2 linked regions of the Caenorhabditis elegans genome follow. The protein of the gene in region 2 interacts with the protein of the main gene of each other region in a pairwise test. Each region holds a gene or a part of one and is shown on either strand. Other genes may lie near its edges.

Region 1 (8,548 bases), on a different chromosome or scaffold from region 2:
GGAAAATCAAATAACGACTAGAAAATAATTAAAATAAAAAGAAATGACTAAAGATCCGGCGAGAATTGTTGATTTGTGTCTAACACGAGTCCATCTTTCACTTCAATTATGGACTTATTTTCGCGGGAATATTGAAATTTCGGGCTTTTTCCATAAATCCATTTCCAGGCTTTCAACTCATCAAAGATTTTCGATATTTCTGCATTTTTCTTCACTTCCTCTGCAACATTCACAGTTTTTATATGTGATTCTTCGAACAGTTTTCTGAAATTTTTTAATGATTGGAAGTTTTTAGTTGCTCCGTTCACCTATAAGCTTCAACAATGGCTAATTTTGATTGTTCGACATTTGCATTGGCATCATCTTGTTTCAGAAATCCAACAGCCGGAGCTCTTACGCTTCTTGTAGCATTTGATTCGATTTTATCTCTCCATGGAGATTTCAAAGATTTTGATAATACTTGAAGATCCGCACCGACGAGGAGTGTTAGATGGTGATAGGCTTGACCTCTTAAATTATTCACATAACAAGTGTTTAAAATATTTTTTTTAAAAATACCGCGCAATTCTTGCAGCTGTTCCTGAGCATTTCCGTTCTCCTGGATGTAGTTCCATGTCATCACGCTTGTTTGGAACGATTTTAACAGAAAATTGTTGATTTAGAGCATCCGAAATGAACTGGAAATAATAAAATGATATTTTTATTATTTTGAAAAATGATATTAATACCTTCAAGTTTTTTGGCCGACAGTGTTGTGCGTGTGTTGTTAAAAGTGAAATATTCAGATTTCCTAGATCATGATAAACAGTGCCTCCTCCACTGTGCCTTCGGACAATTTGAATATTATTTTTGTTAGCATATGGTATGTTGACTTCAATCCACGGATTTTGATGTCTTCCGATGACTACAGCCGGTCGATTACTCCACATGAGCAGGATTTCCCCGTTTTGAGCGACATTGTGAGTCTGAAATCAAAAACTATAGCAAAGGCACTGAAATTACTGCTGAACTGACCCTGAAAATATGCTCCTCATACGCAAGATTTTCGAAAATGCAGCTTGACGTGGATTTCAGAACTGTGGACAATTTTCCGCGTGATATAGAACACATTTAACAAGAAAAATAAATTAGGAAAAGGTAAGAAAACTGTTTATTTGCAAGATTTGAGAAGAAGAGATTGCTAGCATTAAGGAGACGCAGACATTCAGTAATTGCGCTCCATTTATGACATTGTGGCGCGAGCGTTCAAAACATAAATTTTACTTTTTTTTCATTGATTTTTGTTTGATCTAAATTTCCGAAAGCTACCTGAAAACTGTTTAACGCTTTTCTACTATAAAATCGTCACCTTAAAATCTTTTTTAAAATATAATTTTTGTGTGAATTATAAAAATGCACAGTAGCAGTTTAAAGGCACACTTCTTAGTTCAAAGAAATGGTCTTATCACGATTACAGTACCCAACCTGAACGCGGCGCGAATTCCGGATTTATCCCCAAAACGTTTTTTTCCTCCGTTTTAGGTGGCCATTTGTACCGCGTCCAAAACGCGTAAAAGTCCCCAAATTGTCTTCTTTGTTCGACAATTGCACTGAAAACTGACAAAAAACTAACAACATCGGGACTTTTTCGCGTTTTGGACTCGGCATTGAAACTAATATCGCTGTGTCTTCCTTCCTGATTTATTCGTCTTTATTTTTTGTATTTTTCAGAATCAAAATGGATAATAACGTTGAGGATAAAAAAGAGGCAATGCTCAAACGATTAGCAAATCGACACGGTAACAAGATATTTATACTTTATCTCATTATTTATTTTCTTCCTCTTTCAGAGAAACGCCTTCTTGATCAAGTCAAATCGAACACAAAGAAGATCGATTTGAGAGCAACCGAGCGAGCCTTTTTGGAGTCGAGTCCGACTTCAATGAATATGCGAACTCCTCTCAATCCTTCAATCAGCTCTTCTGTATCAGATTCCCCGATTCTATCATATGATGAGAAAGCCAACAAGCAAATTATTGCACTCGCCACGTGGTGCAACACAATGATGGAATTGGATGTGTCTGAAGAGATGGATCTAGGAGAGTCGAAAGCAGAAGCCTGCAGAAATATCCAAAAAATGTTGAAGAAAAGATCAGATACGTCAGAAGTGGAAAATACACAGGAAAATGCACGCAGGAGATATCAACGGATTTTTGAGAAAAATGATCCAGAAGTTGTGAAGAAAAAGTGCAAGCAGCTTCTAGACGATTCAGGAATGGATGCAAGCATCAAGGATCTTCTGTCCAAAAACAACGTCGCAATCCGAAAAGAACATGCCGTATATAATGACATAGGCCTCCAAACAACTCTTCTTCACACATTTCTATCATTCCATCCTGCTTGGCTGAAAACTGCTCTTGAAGCAATCTTTAACACGAGAATTGACGCTCAACCGAAGCATTTAATGAAAAAACTTTCTCAGTTTTTCCTCGATCTAGTTTTCTCAAATCCGACGATGCTAAAGAACAAGAAATTTGCACAAGGTTCTGGAAAGTAAGTTGCTGATTTCAGAGGATGAACGAGTTCGTTAAAATTATGCCTAATCAAATTTTTGCAGACCGATCATCACTGAGGCTGGCAAAGAAGCTCTACACAAGCATTTTCTGTCCGTCTCGATGAAGCTGATGTTCTTGATTGAAACGGCACACACTCATCGAGTTATCCCGAATCTGACGAGAATCTTCACGAAGTCCTCTCATTTCAATTGTCTCGACGATGTGTTCTCCGAACTGACGAAGGAATTGTTGACTGGAAGCTCTGCTACTTTCAAAAAAGCGTTTGCAAAAGTCGGTTTTATTCCGACTTACCGACAATCATTCATTGAAAATTACGACTACCAAGCGAAAGGATTTTCAGATTTCTCGGATGGTCTAATTTTGGCGTGAGTTTCTAGAAAGATTTCTTATAAATTACACGAGCTTTTCCTCATTCAACAACAAATGTTATCACTGTCCCTATTTCCACCGATCATAACCTATTTTTCAGAAAGCTGTTGGAAACTGTCGGAGAGATGCCGCATGGTCAAATTCTGTTGAAGTTACGTGATCCAGCAGGCGACCGCATCCGCAAAATTGGAAACGTGAAGATTGTACTCCAGGAGATGTCTTCTTTGGGTGTTCCAACGGATAATGTTAACGCCGAATCAATCGTTGGCGGAAAGAAAGACGAGATTTTGTCTATTTTGTGGGCTATTATCGGAGTTCGTGTGGCCAAGGAACAAAGAATCAAGGTGACGAGAGTTTCTGAAGAAAGAACTCCGAAAAAGCGGCGATCTGCTGTCCACGATGACATGTCTTCTGAAGTATTAAAAATGTGCAAGATTTACGGAAGACAGATGGAAATCGAAGTCATGGACTTGGATTCACTCTCCGATGGGTGCCTTCTGGCCAAGTTGTGGACCACTTTCGGAACAAATTCAACACCGATTCAGGACTATGATGGACTCAGTCTGTGGGAGAAAGTTGTTTCAGTTGCCGAGTTGGAGCTTTGTATTCAGCGAGGACTTGATCAGAACATGGCTCTTTTCGTAAAAATGTTTCTGGAACGACTGGGTATGATTCAAGATCTAAATGAGAAAGCGACCAAGATTCAACGAATGTGGAAGGCCTACGTGCAAAGAAAGGTATTCATCAAAAAATAAAGTTATTTATATTATAATTCACTTTCAGAATACTCCCAAGCTGTATTTCATTGTACAACAACTTCTTGCCGACTCATCAATTCCTCGAAACCGAAGTGTTTCTCCATTCTCTAATAATGTCACTTTCACAGTACCGAGGACTCCACGGAATAATATTCTGACTGAAAGACCATCTCTATCACAAATCCCATCGTCTCGCCAATCAATGGATTCTACCTTCAACGATGCGACGTTTACTGTTTCACGTGATTCAATTGAAAGCATGAACAAGATGCAGAAAACTCCACTGAGAGGTACATTCACAAGAAAAACAATTGCGATGGTTATCGAGGAAGAGGATGATTCGGAAAATAACGAAACGGTCGTACCAAGTACATTGAAAAAGAGAACCGTTGTCAGAATGGAGCACAATGCGGAAGTATTCAGAGAACAAGATGAAGATGATGAAAACCAAGACAAAGACACTGTTGCTCCTTCCGCTGAGAACTTGGATAGTCCACCTTCAGACATCCCATTAGAAACTCTTTCTTCTATTCCTTCCGCTTCCCAATCTGCCATATTTCTTCAAGACTCTGAAACTGGCAAAGAGATGCATGTCCCTAAAGCTGAAGATGTCGGCGTCGTAGTTCTTGAAGCATCAGATTCTCCGGTTGCACTAGAAGGGAACAATGAAGCAAGCTATGATGGTCAGAAAATTGAGAACTTAGAAACTTTTGAAATCAAAGAGGGCAAGACGCAAGAAGATCTACCTTCAAAATCTCCTATGGATCCTACGCAGACAAGCGGAAGCCCATTGGTTGAATTCAGAATGACAGAAGAACAGGAGCGTTTAGAGATGCTTTTCCAGTCATTATCAGAAGATCAGAAGAACTTCGTCAAGACGAATAACCTTAGTGTGTCTATTGAGGACGATGCCAACACTCCTGAACTTAGAAGGATCTTGAGACAAACCAGAGAACTCAAGAGAAAGCAACAGGAAATTGTGAGTCTATATCAAGTTTGACAGATTATTTAATGGTGGACTCAACAGTCAAAAAACGAAACATTTTTTGCTTTAAATGAGAGAACAGATCATAATGACCACATATAACTGTAAAAAATTGAACATTTTTCTAAATTTTTTAATGGGTTTTTTAAAAATTTTGTAACAATAAAAGAAGCGACTGATAAGGCCCGCCGAGATATTCGTTTTCCTGGAAAATTTGAATGGATTTTCTTTTCTCATCTGGCGTCTCAAATGGAAGCACAAAAAAATCCGAGAAAAACCAGTAAAATTAGCTGTAAAAACGGATATCTCTAAAAAGTGGTCAGGGCCTGGTTAAAAATGGTTAAAAGTTTCAGGCGAGAAAACTGGGAAACATCGAGAGAAATGCGTTAGCTGTTCGTGATGGCGGGGAGGATTCGTCCGACAGTAGATCAGATGCTGGGCACGATGTTGCTATCCTTCACGGTGACGACAGTCAACTCTTCGAAAATTCAATGCAATTGGATCAGAAATCTCAATTGCAAAATGATGAGACTCAAATTCTTGAGAATAAAAAGAAGGCAGCTGTTGTCATTCAGAAAATGATACGTGGTTTCATTGCACGGCGTAAATTCCAAATGGAAATTAGCAATATTCGCAATCGCATGATCCAATACAATCACATATTGGCGCAAGAAGACGAGCAAATTGGTATAGAAGAAATGGAGGATAAATCAGTCGAGGCAAAGTGAGAACTCTTTTTTTTTTAAATATATTTAAAAAAATTGATTTTCAGGCTAAAGAAATGCGCTCTTCATGGACTCACAAATGATAACCTTCACGTCGTTCATGTTGCTGCAACTGTCATCGGTATGTCGCAAATGAAAATTACGAAGAAGCTGCTTTTTGATCTGAAAGTCATAGAAACCAAAAGTTTATGAATATGCCGCCATGGATGATTTTCTTCGTCAATTGCAAAACCATACAACACATAGAAATGTTCATATTTTGCAGACCGAGTCACCGATCTTGTTCCATCACTTTTGGAAAAGCTTGTCGTCGAACTGAATGGCATCAAGTCGATCACTGATGTTTTGATTGTGGCGGATCGAGGATTCTCTTATACGAGCATTCTTCATCCATTATTGAATGTTCTCGAAAAATTATTCACGAAGATTCCCGAAGAAGTCACCAATTCGCATATTCTCCCTCACTTGAAGATTTTGTCGCCTCGCTTGATGCTACTGATGCTGAAGCACTCGGAAGTCAAGGAATTGTTTATTCCTATCATTAACACCTTGACTTCAATTGCTAGAAGATTCCCAGACAAAAAGCAATCGAGTTTTTCTTCATCAAGCTACTCAATCAAGCAGTCGCTCAAAAAAGTCAAGGATCAGGAGTGTCGGAATAAATTGGTCAGATTGGAAAGCATATGCGAAGATATGCTCTAAATTAGTCTCTGTTAAATATTAAATTCATCCCACCGTTTTGTGTATCATATCGTGAAAAAATACACACGGTTTAATTATTTTTATGTGAATATTTACCAATAAGATCAGTCAACCTGATGCTTATTTGGATTTTTTGGTATTTCATATTTGTTTCTTAAAGTCTGTTGTGAAGTAAAAACTTGATTTTAAATACTACCGTTTTTTTTAGAGTATGATGAATTTAGCTACTTTTAGAAATTCAAGAAGTCTGCTATTTTTCTCTGTTCCCTCTTTAAAATTTTTGAGTTTTGCACTTGTTGCGTAGCAGATGGCTCATCCGATTTGCAAATAGTTACTCGTCTTACTCTCCGTTCGCATTACACAGTAACCCTCCGACCATCTTTTTCTGCTCTTTTTTGTACTTTGTCACGTCATTCGGCTCCTGCTCCGCCTACTCAAAATTTTTATGGTTTTTTTCGAAAGTTTGAGAGAAGTAGTACTCGTTTTTCCGAATTTTTAAAATATTGTTCATTAGTTTTTATTAATTCCAGCTATATGCAGTGCCGGCCAAAAGTTGGTGATTTTTCAACAACAAAAAAAAATCAAAAGTAGCTACTTAAGTAGTAATTTTAAAAAACTTACCAGACAGGATTTTCATTATAACTTTGTCTAGATTTTGCTTTCCTCTGGAAAAAAAGTTGAAGCGGCTGACATCTACAGGAATAGATTTGTATATGTTCTCTTGCAACACATGTTTTTGAATTCTAAAGGCGCGTATGGGTCTCGCCACGTGGGAAACGAGTTTCTGTAACTCATGTCGGTTTACGGGTCACTAAAAGTTGTATCATCATTTTCAAAAATAGAAATTACTGACAAGATTTATTTAGAAAAAATAATTGTGCAATAGCGGCCCGTACATTAATACGAGTTACAGTAACCCGTTGTTCGAATGGCGAGACCATTGCACGTCTACGTAATAACAATTTGGCAGCAATTTAGACAATATTATCAATGTTTTGTCTTTACACAGTTTTTTAATTATTAGTTTTTGAGGTATTGTTTGGTTGAAAAATCACGAGAATAAGTCAAAGACGCATATAATTTGGCCGATATTGTGCTCGCATTTTCCCGATTTTCGTATTCAAGAAAATGGTCAGAAGATCATTTGGAATAGAAGTAGAAAATCTTCAAAATTTTTCTTTTTCTTTTATTTTATTCTATACAAATAGACACTTGAACTAATATAATAAGTACTTAACAGAAGTAGAACTCTTTTCAACTTGGCCCCCTCTCTGTAATATGTCTGACAATGTTGGTCCAAGAGAATTGTCAAATGCATTCAAATATCTTCTTGCCTATCAATTAGATTCGTAAGTTTTTTTTTCACAAAATGGAAAATTGATAGTTATGGATAGATCTCTGAAAAAAAACATCTTAAAATAGTAGATAATACTTTCCACCCAATTTTTTTGAATTCATAAACTTATAAAGGCATATTAGTAGCTTTTGTAAAATGTGTTCGAGAAGTTATTTATTCAATAAAAATGTGTAAAAAACGGTAAACCATTTAGATACCAAAAAAACCAGATCTTGCCATTTTTCTTCTAAAAGACACGACAAAAATTAGGTATTGTCAAGTGTGGGTTACTGTATCTGGATGTTTCTCTCTCTCGGGTATGACCTTTTGTCCAATCATGGAAAGTTCACCAAACTTATTCTGGAGTTATGCATAATTTATTTGTAATATTAAAACTTCAGGAGAGTCATGGTAATAAACTTAAAGTAGAAGAGTTCAAAATTCTCTTCAAAAAAAGTGTTTAGAAACCAGTAAGAACCCTTTCAAACTCTACATTTCTTCCTTCTAAACCCCGCTGTAATCCTTCTGTGATCAATTTTTCAAAATGACTACAAGTGACATAACTGCCAGTTTTAAGGCACACTTTTCTGCAATCTTCCGGAAGAAGATGTTCGAGACTTATTTGTTCTTTCAAATCGACTGGCCAATATCATTTATACAATTTAATGTGGAACGTCGCCTATAAGAAAATTGTTTGAAACCAATTAATTCGTTGCTAAAATGTAAAAAGCTTTGAAAGATATTTTTATTTGCAGTCGAAAAGTGGAAATTTTTTTACCAATAAATTTCCGTCAAAATTTAGCGATTCACCAATACTTTGACAGAAATTTTTGAACGACCTAAAGTTTTTTGAAGCGTTTAATTATTTTTTAAAGTCATGTTGGAGTGTATTTGTAGCACATATCCCGGAGTACTTTTTGGGGTACACAATTTATATTTCTCGATATATAACTATGCAACACAAATAGAGTACCTAATCAATTGAAGATCAATTGATATATATGCCATATTCGGGAAGTGTGTGTGAATCTCTGAGTCTCTCAAATCCAAATGATATTTCTCATTTCATAATATATTTTCTCATTATCTTGTTGTCATTATCCACTATCTTCATAATC
Region 2 (7,344 bases):
CTTTTCAGACGCATCTCGTGTATGACTCTTCACTATAAAACAATACGAAAATTATTCTTTGCAATAAGTTTATTTCTACCTATAACCTTAGAGATATACCTGATCTTTTTCACGCCAAACCAGAAAATCGAGTCTTATTCCGAAGTGTCACATCGAGATGTTGTCATGAAACTGAGCGGTCACGACTTTTCATATTTTGTGGTTGATTGGGTAAGTGAATTTGTGAGATAAAAATGTAAAATTTGCAAAAAATGATTTTTTTTGAGTTTTGAATATATTTGGAACATAAAATTTAAAAAAAAGGTACATCCATAGGAAACTCTGCAAATCGGCAAATTGGCGGTTTGCCGATTTTCCGGATATCTTCAATTTCGACAATGTGCCGGTTCGCTGATTTGCCGGAAATTCTCTATTCCGGCTTTTTGCCGGTTTGCCGATTTGCCGGAAATTTTTCAATTCCTGTATTTTGCCGGTTTGCCGGAAATTTTCGATTCCGGTATTTTGCCGGTTTGCCAATTTGCCGGAAAATTTGCCAACAATTCGGCAATCGCTGTTATTCCTGCAAATCGGCAATGTGCCGGTTTGTAAAATTTTTCAATGCCGGCAAATTGCCGTTTTTTCCTGCAAATCGGTTCTTTGCCGGTTTGCAGGAAGAATCGTTGATTTAAATTTTTAGTAATTCATTTGTTTTTAAAGTTTATTAATTAAATTCACATGTGAATTAAAAATGGTTAAAAAATATATGTACCTTAAGAAAAATTAAAATGTTCAGTTTCAGAGTTTCTCGTTGCTAGTTTTCACATTTACCATCCCCTACATTACTTGCTTTATCGTTAGTCTGGTTTTTCATAAATTTTATATGAAATCGATTCGGAACGTTTCCAACGAGTTCATCGATATGGGATATCACGACTCGGCGAACATCAATAGAACCCTCCTATCAATTGCTCTTCAGAATCTCATATCAATTTCCATTCCACACTTTGTGCTCACAATTACGTCTCTTCTGAAATGGGATCTTGGTGTCCGTGCGTTACCGGCTTCGTTTGGATGTATTACGATTACATTGACAACGTCTCTCACAATTTTTGTCAATTTTAGAGCTTACAGGTTTGAGGTTTCTTTTGCAAATACACGGAGTTCTGGCTTTCCTCATTGAATTTTTCGCGCTCCATTGTCAATCGCCCGCCGGACACGTGGGAAAGTCGTGTAATCCACACGGACAAATACATTTAGTTTTCCAACTAAAATCGAGCCGCAACGCGACACGCAACGCGCCGTAAATCTACCTCAGATTTGGCCGAGCCAAAATGGCCTAGTTCGGCAAACTCTTCCATTTCAATTTATGAGGGAAGCCAGAAATCCGTGCAAGGATAATGTGGACGCTTGTAATTGCGCGCTACTGCTAAGTATGAAACGACTCCGCCTCTAAACCTTGGGTCTCGCTTGGTATTGGCGGCAAAGCTGTAAATTCGTACATTTTTCCATCGGTGTCAGGCTGTCCCATCGCTGCACACTGCACACTAAAGGTGCGAATAATTTTTTTGAAAGTTTGTGACGTCACCTAATAATTGTTTTTGCAACTTAAGAGTTAATTTTGGTGAAATTATTTTTTTTAATTTTTCAATTTGTTTCAGTTTCTCCACTTAACTTGTAAAATTTTTAGAATTTCAGTGAAATACTCCAATTCGACAAAAATCGCCGTTTAAATTGAAAAAAAATTATTCGAAATGCGCTGTGACGTCACAAATTTTCAAAAAAAAATTCTCGCCTTTGGGGCGATGGGACATCCTGTCACCAAAAAATTAATTTTATGTCGAAATGGGAAAGATAAAATTCATATTACTTTTGCACAAAATTGGCAAAATATCTCCTAGCGAAAACTACAGTAATCCTTTAAATGACTACTGTAGTGCTTGTGCCGATTTACGGGCTCGATTTTTGAAATGAATAATTTATTTATTGCTAAAATATTGAAATTTATCAAATAATGCAAAAAAAACTGTCACTACTATTCGAAAATAAATTCATTTCGAAAATCGAGCCCGTAAATCGACACAGTAGTAACAGTAGTAACAGTAGTAATTTAAGGGGTTACTGTAGACTTCGCTGCGAGATATTCTGCGCGTCAAATATGTTGTGCGATACGCAGTAGCAGTGTTTTGTGGTCCTTTAATATTGAATCATCATGTTTGCCGTCAATACCTAACGAGACCCAACGTTTGGGGGTGGAGCCTGCCGCTTTTCAACTTTTTCAATTTTCAGACGACAACTCGGCTTCATTATAATCGATTTTTTCCGGCAAAAAAATGTGAACCTTTCCGTCTTTGTCGTCGATAATCAGCAGCAAGCCGATCAACTTCAAATGTCCACCGTCGGAGCACCTATTTCGATGATGTGAGAAGTTTTTTTTCAAAAAAATAAAATTGTTCTTTTTAATTTTTAAATTGACTTTTTGATTGAAAAACCCCAAAGCATTCAAAAAAAATCAAGTTTCATTTGAAGATTTTCTTTTTTTTTTGTTGAATAAGTTCGCATCAAGGGACGAGAGAAGCGAGATAATCAGAGATAAAAATTTGAATTGTTCAGAGATTATAGAGACGGTGGTGGTGGTGGGTTGGTTGGGAAGAATGGAATTAAATTATTAAAGGATTTTGGAGACTTTGACTTTTACAATAATATAAAATAGGAATTTTCAAAGAAAAAATCCAAAACAAAAAAAAAGAAAGCAATGGTGCAAAAAGTGTTCACTAGGCGCCAAAATTTTTTGCCGTTGCTTGTCGAAATCGAAATTCAAAGCAACAGAAAATATTTCAGGTACAATTTTAAAATGGCCCGTGTGACGGTGTGTGTGTGGTGCGAAAAGAGGGAATTTTCTACACTTTCTATAAATGGTTGAGGGGGAAAGAGAGAGGAAAGAAAGATTTTCGAGTTTGGAATACATTTTTTGGGAAGAACAATTTGGAAGAAGAGAAAATATGAGAAAAATACCAAGTGGGAAAAGAAGAAGCCAGCGGTTTTTTTTAAGTTTTTTAAATTTTTTTATGGGGTTTTACAGGTTGGAGGCATTATTTTGAGGAAGGGTCAAGCCGGGGCAGGCGACCAAGAACTGGAGGATCCGGGACTTTTTAATTTGGGGGCAGGGGCAGGAGAAGAAGAAACTCAATCATTGTAAAGAGGAAATAAGAAAAAAATGACTTATAAATGAGTTTCACATTCTAAGAAAAAAACAAAATTAGGTTGAGAGCACGTCTGTCAAAAAAGAGGCAAAAAAACTTAAATTTGAACATAAATTACATCATTTATAGCATTTTTTGACTGGGCTTGGCAATTTTTTTTTGGGGCTCGAGAGCGAAATCACAATTTTCAAGCGGGGAAGAATAAAAAAACGAAAGGTGAGAGAAAAGGTGTTGGTGATTCGCAAACGATACGGCGGCTTCAGATCCCGATTGGTGTGATTTACTTGGTTGTCATCATGGTGACGAACTCTGAAATATGGGAAATTTGATGAAATTTCGAAAAAAAAAGGTCTTGTAAGGACTCACCCTCATAATTGACTTGTCCATCTCCGTCGATATCGGCTTCACGGATCATCTCGTCGACCTCTTCGTCCGTTAGCTTCTCTCCCAAGTTGGTCATGACGTGGCGCAGTTCAGCGGCCGAGATGAAGCCATTTCCGTCCTTGTCGAAAACCTGCAAATAGGAAGATTTGAATGAGATTTTCTATACTACATGAGGCTTCTCTATAGTGAATCAAAAATGAATTTATAAATTTCCACAAATCTCTTACTCGGAACGCCTCACGAATCTCCTCCTCACTGTCCGTGTCCTTCATCTTGCGGGCCATCATCGTCAAGAACTCTGGGAAATCGATGGTTCCGTTTCCGTCAGCGTCCACTTCGTTGATCATGTCCTGAAGCTCGGCTTCAGTCGGATTTTGTCCCAAAGACCGCATAACAGTTCCCAATTCCTTGGTGGTGATTGTGCCATCGCCGTCCTTGTCGAACAAACTGAATGCCTCCTTGAACTCTGAAAATTTGGCAAAATTGATTTGGTTTTTTCTCGAATTTTGTAGTTTTTTATACAATTGTTGATAGATTTTTCGCCGCGAGAACCAGCCAACATCTGGAATAAAACACACAAAAATAGTGGCGCTATACATCTGCTGCTACGGCTAATGTTTCATCCATTAAATTTAAATTTCTACGCCGCGCCGCTTGGTTTCTGCTCAATTCGCTTCGAAATGAGAGAGGATTAGATTTCTTCAATCTCCCGGTCCTCCGTCCATCAATCAGAATTTAAAAAAGTACCGGCAATTTGCTCCTCGGTCAGTTGATCGGCCATCTTGCTTTCGCTGTGCAGGGGGTGTTGTTAGAAAACCCTGAAAAATGAAAAAGGATAATTAATTAATTAATTAAAATCAATATAAATTGTTTGAAAGCGAGCGGAACGACGTAAACAATGATGAATACCGGTGGGTGAAACGGTGACGAGAGAGAAAAAATCGGAGAGAATAATCGAAAAAAGAGAGAAAAGAGAGAAAATAGAGAAGAACTAGAGAGAATTTACTGACTGATAAGCCAACGATAGGTACAAATTTTATATTTCGAAATGAAGAGAGAAGGAGACGAAATCAAAGGTTGATTTTGTCGAATTGGAAATATTTAGCGATTTCACTCTCCTCAAAGCCGAATTATTATTAGAGCGCGCTTGCTACGCGCTTTGCGTTTCTGCATCCGCGATGTTTTTGCCTGTCCACTGAAAAAATCAGATTTATTGAATCTTAGGAACAAACCAAAATGACGAAAATCAACTTTTTTCGTCCACTGGTTGAGAAAAAGTTGAAAAAATCAGCGGGATATTTTTTTTTGTTATTTTCTGAATCTATTTTTCTATCGAAAATCGGTTTTAAACCACTTTTGACTCTAAAGTAAGGTCACAAATGGATTAAAATCAATTTTTAATAGGAAAATATTTAGAAAATAAGAAAAATCTCGTTGATTTTTTCAATTTCAAACCTTTTCACAACCAGTAGACGAAAAAAGTTCATTTTAGTCATTTTAATTTCGATGTTCACTGTCTAGCAATAGGTTTGTCCGTGAAATGCTGAAAAAAAAACATCTACTTTCAGTGGAAACACGTGGTGCCAGGCTGGGCTGTCCCATTACGGTTTGATCTACAAAAAATGCGGGAATTTTGCCCAATAAATGTGATGTCAGCACGTTCTTAACAATGCAAAATCAGTTGAGAACTCTGTTGTCTCTTCTCCCGCATTTTTTGTAGATCTTTGTAGATCAAGCCGGAATGAGACACTCTGACACAACGTGTGGAAAGGCAAAACACCGCGGATGCAGAAATGCGAAACGTAGAAAATTATTCGGCTTTGAGGAGAGCGCGTGATTTCTGTCAAAAATCCACCAAAAAAAAACAAATTTCCAGTGGGTAGATCAAAGATCCCCTGCGGATATTCCATTACACATAATAATCGGAAAACTCTGATGGCCGAGACGTCTTGCGGAAGGAAAAGAAATGAAACAACAAAAAAGAGAGAAGATAGGGGTCAGTGTGTGTGCGTGTTCTGGTTATCGAATTATCCCCACAATACTTCAATTTCCTCTTGTTTTGCACGCAAAACGAGAAGTTGAAATTGGGGGATGGGGAGGGGGGGGGGGGGGGGTGTAGCGAAAACGGCCAACGTCTTATTCATCTGCGACGACCACCACCACCACCGCAACAAGAAAAGAACGGAGACGTGTTCGTCAATGAAGAAGTCTGAACACAAAAACTAGTTCTTCCTTCATCTCATCATACGTCCGAAAGAACATCAGCAGACACCGCGTCAACAACAAAAAAAGCCGACCAATTCTCAGCGGAGCGCATTTTCGATATGGAACATTAATACGAAAAAGGGCTGCTGTACAAGGGGATTATATAAGCGCGCGCGCGAAACGGAGCGGCGGTGAAAACTAAAGCATAATCCGACCCGGCGCAAGGGTTTTCAGGTTTTAACCTATAATGGGAAACCAGGAAAAGGGAATAAACAATCAAAAGAGACCTAAGAAATGTTTTTACAGAATGATAAATCACGAGAATATGGAAAAATAGTTGCGAAAACCTATTTGACGAGTTGAAAAATCAATGAATCACATGATTTAGCAAACAGACTCTGTTTTTTTTCTCGTTACACCTTCGTTTCTCAATTTGTTGGATCTCTCGAGCCTCCTCAAATATCTATACGAACGCTGGACAAATATTTGGCGGAAATCTCGGGGGGTTTCGAGGTTTTCTAACGAAGCGGCTCAGAAAGTCGGTAAAAACAACGAAGAAGCATTTTTCAGGAAAAATGAAACATCGGTTGTTTCTATTGCCCAGGCACATGAAATGATGCCCGTTTAAGCAGAGTGTGCGCGTGTGTGTGTGCAATTTCATTCGTCGCACTCCCTCTCTCTCTCGATGATGCTCAATTTCTCTATTTCTCCCGCCAGAGCGCCCATGCCTGAATACTGCTGTTTCAGTTGCTGGCTGGCTGCTGCAGTCAGTGTGGTGGTGGACGACCGACTGGTGGTGTGCGCAATGCGTCGGTGCGGCATTAGAAATAATGCATTGACGACGGACGACGGTGGAGAAGGAAGGAAGATTATCGAAACCGACAATGTTGGAACTCGAAAAAATGGAAATGGAAGAGTTTGCCGAACTAGGCCATTTTGGCTCGGCCATATCTGGGGTAGATTTATGGCGCGTCGCGGCTCGATTTTAGTTGTAAAACTGAATGTATTCACGACTTTCCCACGCATTGTCCGGCGGGCGATTGCCAATGGAGCGCAAAATTTTCAATGAGGAAGGCCCGTGCCAAGGTTTACAAGAACTAATTCTCACGACAAAATGAACCGCTATTAAAAAAATCAATAAAAACGGGGAGAAATCGACAATGCGCTGACTCATATTTTATCAAAAACCGTGCACACCTTATATACACGGTGGTAAGTGAGTCAGAAAAGGCAAAAAGAGGGCCAACGGGAGGGAACACTTACTCTAAAATGGGCGGGTCGTGAAGCGGTGGAGCGGTACCAAAACAGCTAAGCCACGCCCTGTGTTGTTTTCGATGGGGGGATATTCGACAATTTTTGCGCGGGGTTCTGGCCTTCCTCATTGAATTTTTCGCGCTCTATTGACAATCGTCCGCCGGGCAAAGTCGTGTATACTCCACCCGGATAAATGCTCTTAGTTTTACAACTAAAATCGAGCCGCGACGCGACACGCAACGCGCCGTAAATCTACCACAGATGTGGCCGAGCCAAAACGGCCTAGTTTGGAAAACTCTTCGATTTAAATTTACGAGGGAAA

Evidence for each region. The genes of interacting proteins can lie anywhere in the genome.
Region 1: the proteins of cmd-1 (region 2) and aspm-1 interact in a two-hybrid assay, tested with the Caenorhabditis elegans proteins (2 studies listed by BioGRID).

What each region holds. Positions count from the first base shown.
Region 1 is NC_003279.8:9,219,553-9,228,100, reverse strand, and holds aspm-1 (Calponin-homology (CH) domain-containing protein), read left to right. Parts: upstream 1-1,710; 5' UTR 1,711-1,717; coding exon 1,718-1,778; intron 1,779-1,829; coding exon 1,830-2,532; intron 2,533-2,596; coding exon 2,597-2,920; intron 2,921-3,024; coding exon 3,025-3,661; intron 3,662-3,707; coding exon 3,708-4,661; intron 4,662-5,020; coding exon 5,021-5,391; intron 5,392-5,439; coding exon 5,440-5,513; intron 5,514-5,657; coding exon 5,658-6,094; 3' UTR 6,095-6,351; downstream 6,352-8,548. Other genes in the region: lipt-1 (BPL/LPL catalytic domain-containing protein), read right to left, coding at 48-264, 309-509, 559-677, 729-965, 1,015-1,110; lim-9 (Protein espinas), read left to right, coding at 7,373-7,443.
Region 2 is NC_003283.11:1,153,308-1,160,651, reverse strand, and holds cmd-1 (Calmodulin), read right to left. Parts: upstream 4,382-7,344; 5' UTR 4,345-4,381; coding exon 4,311-4,344; intron 4,030-4,310; coding exon 3,791-4,029; intron 3,694-3,790; coding exon 3,546-3,693; intron 3,489-3,545; coding exon 3,460-3,488; 3' UTR 2,463-3,459; downstream 1-2,462. Other genes in the region: T21H3.5 (Serpentine Receptor, class H), read left to right, coding at 9-210, 779-1,110, 2,266-2,401. UniProt on the Caenorhabditis elegans protein: Calmodulin mediates the control of a large number of enzymes, ion channels and other proteins by Ca(2+). Among the enzymes to be stimulated by the calmodulin-Ca(2+) complex are a number of protein kinases and phosphatases.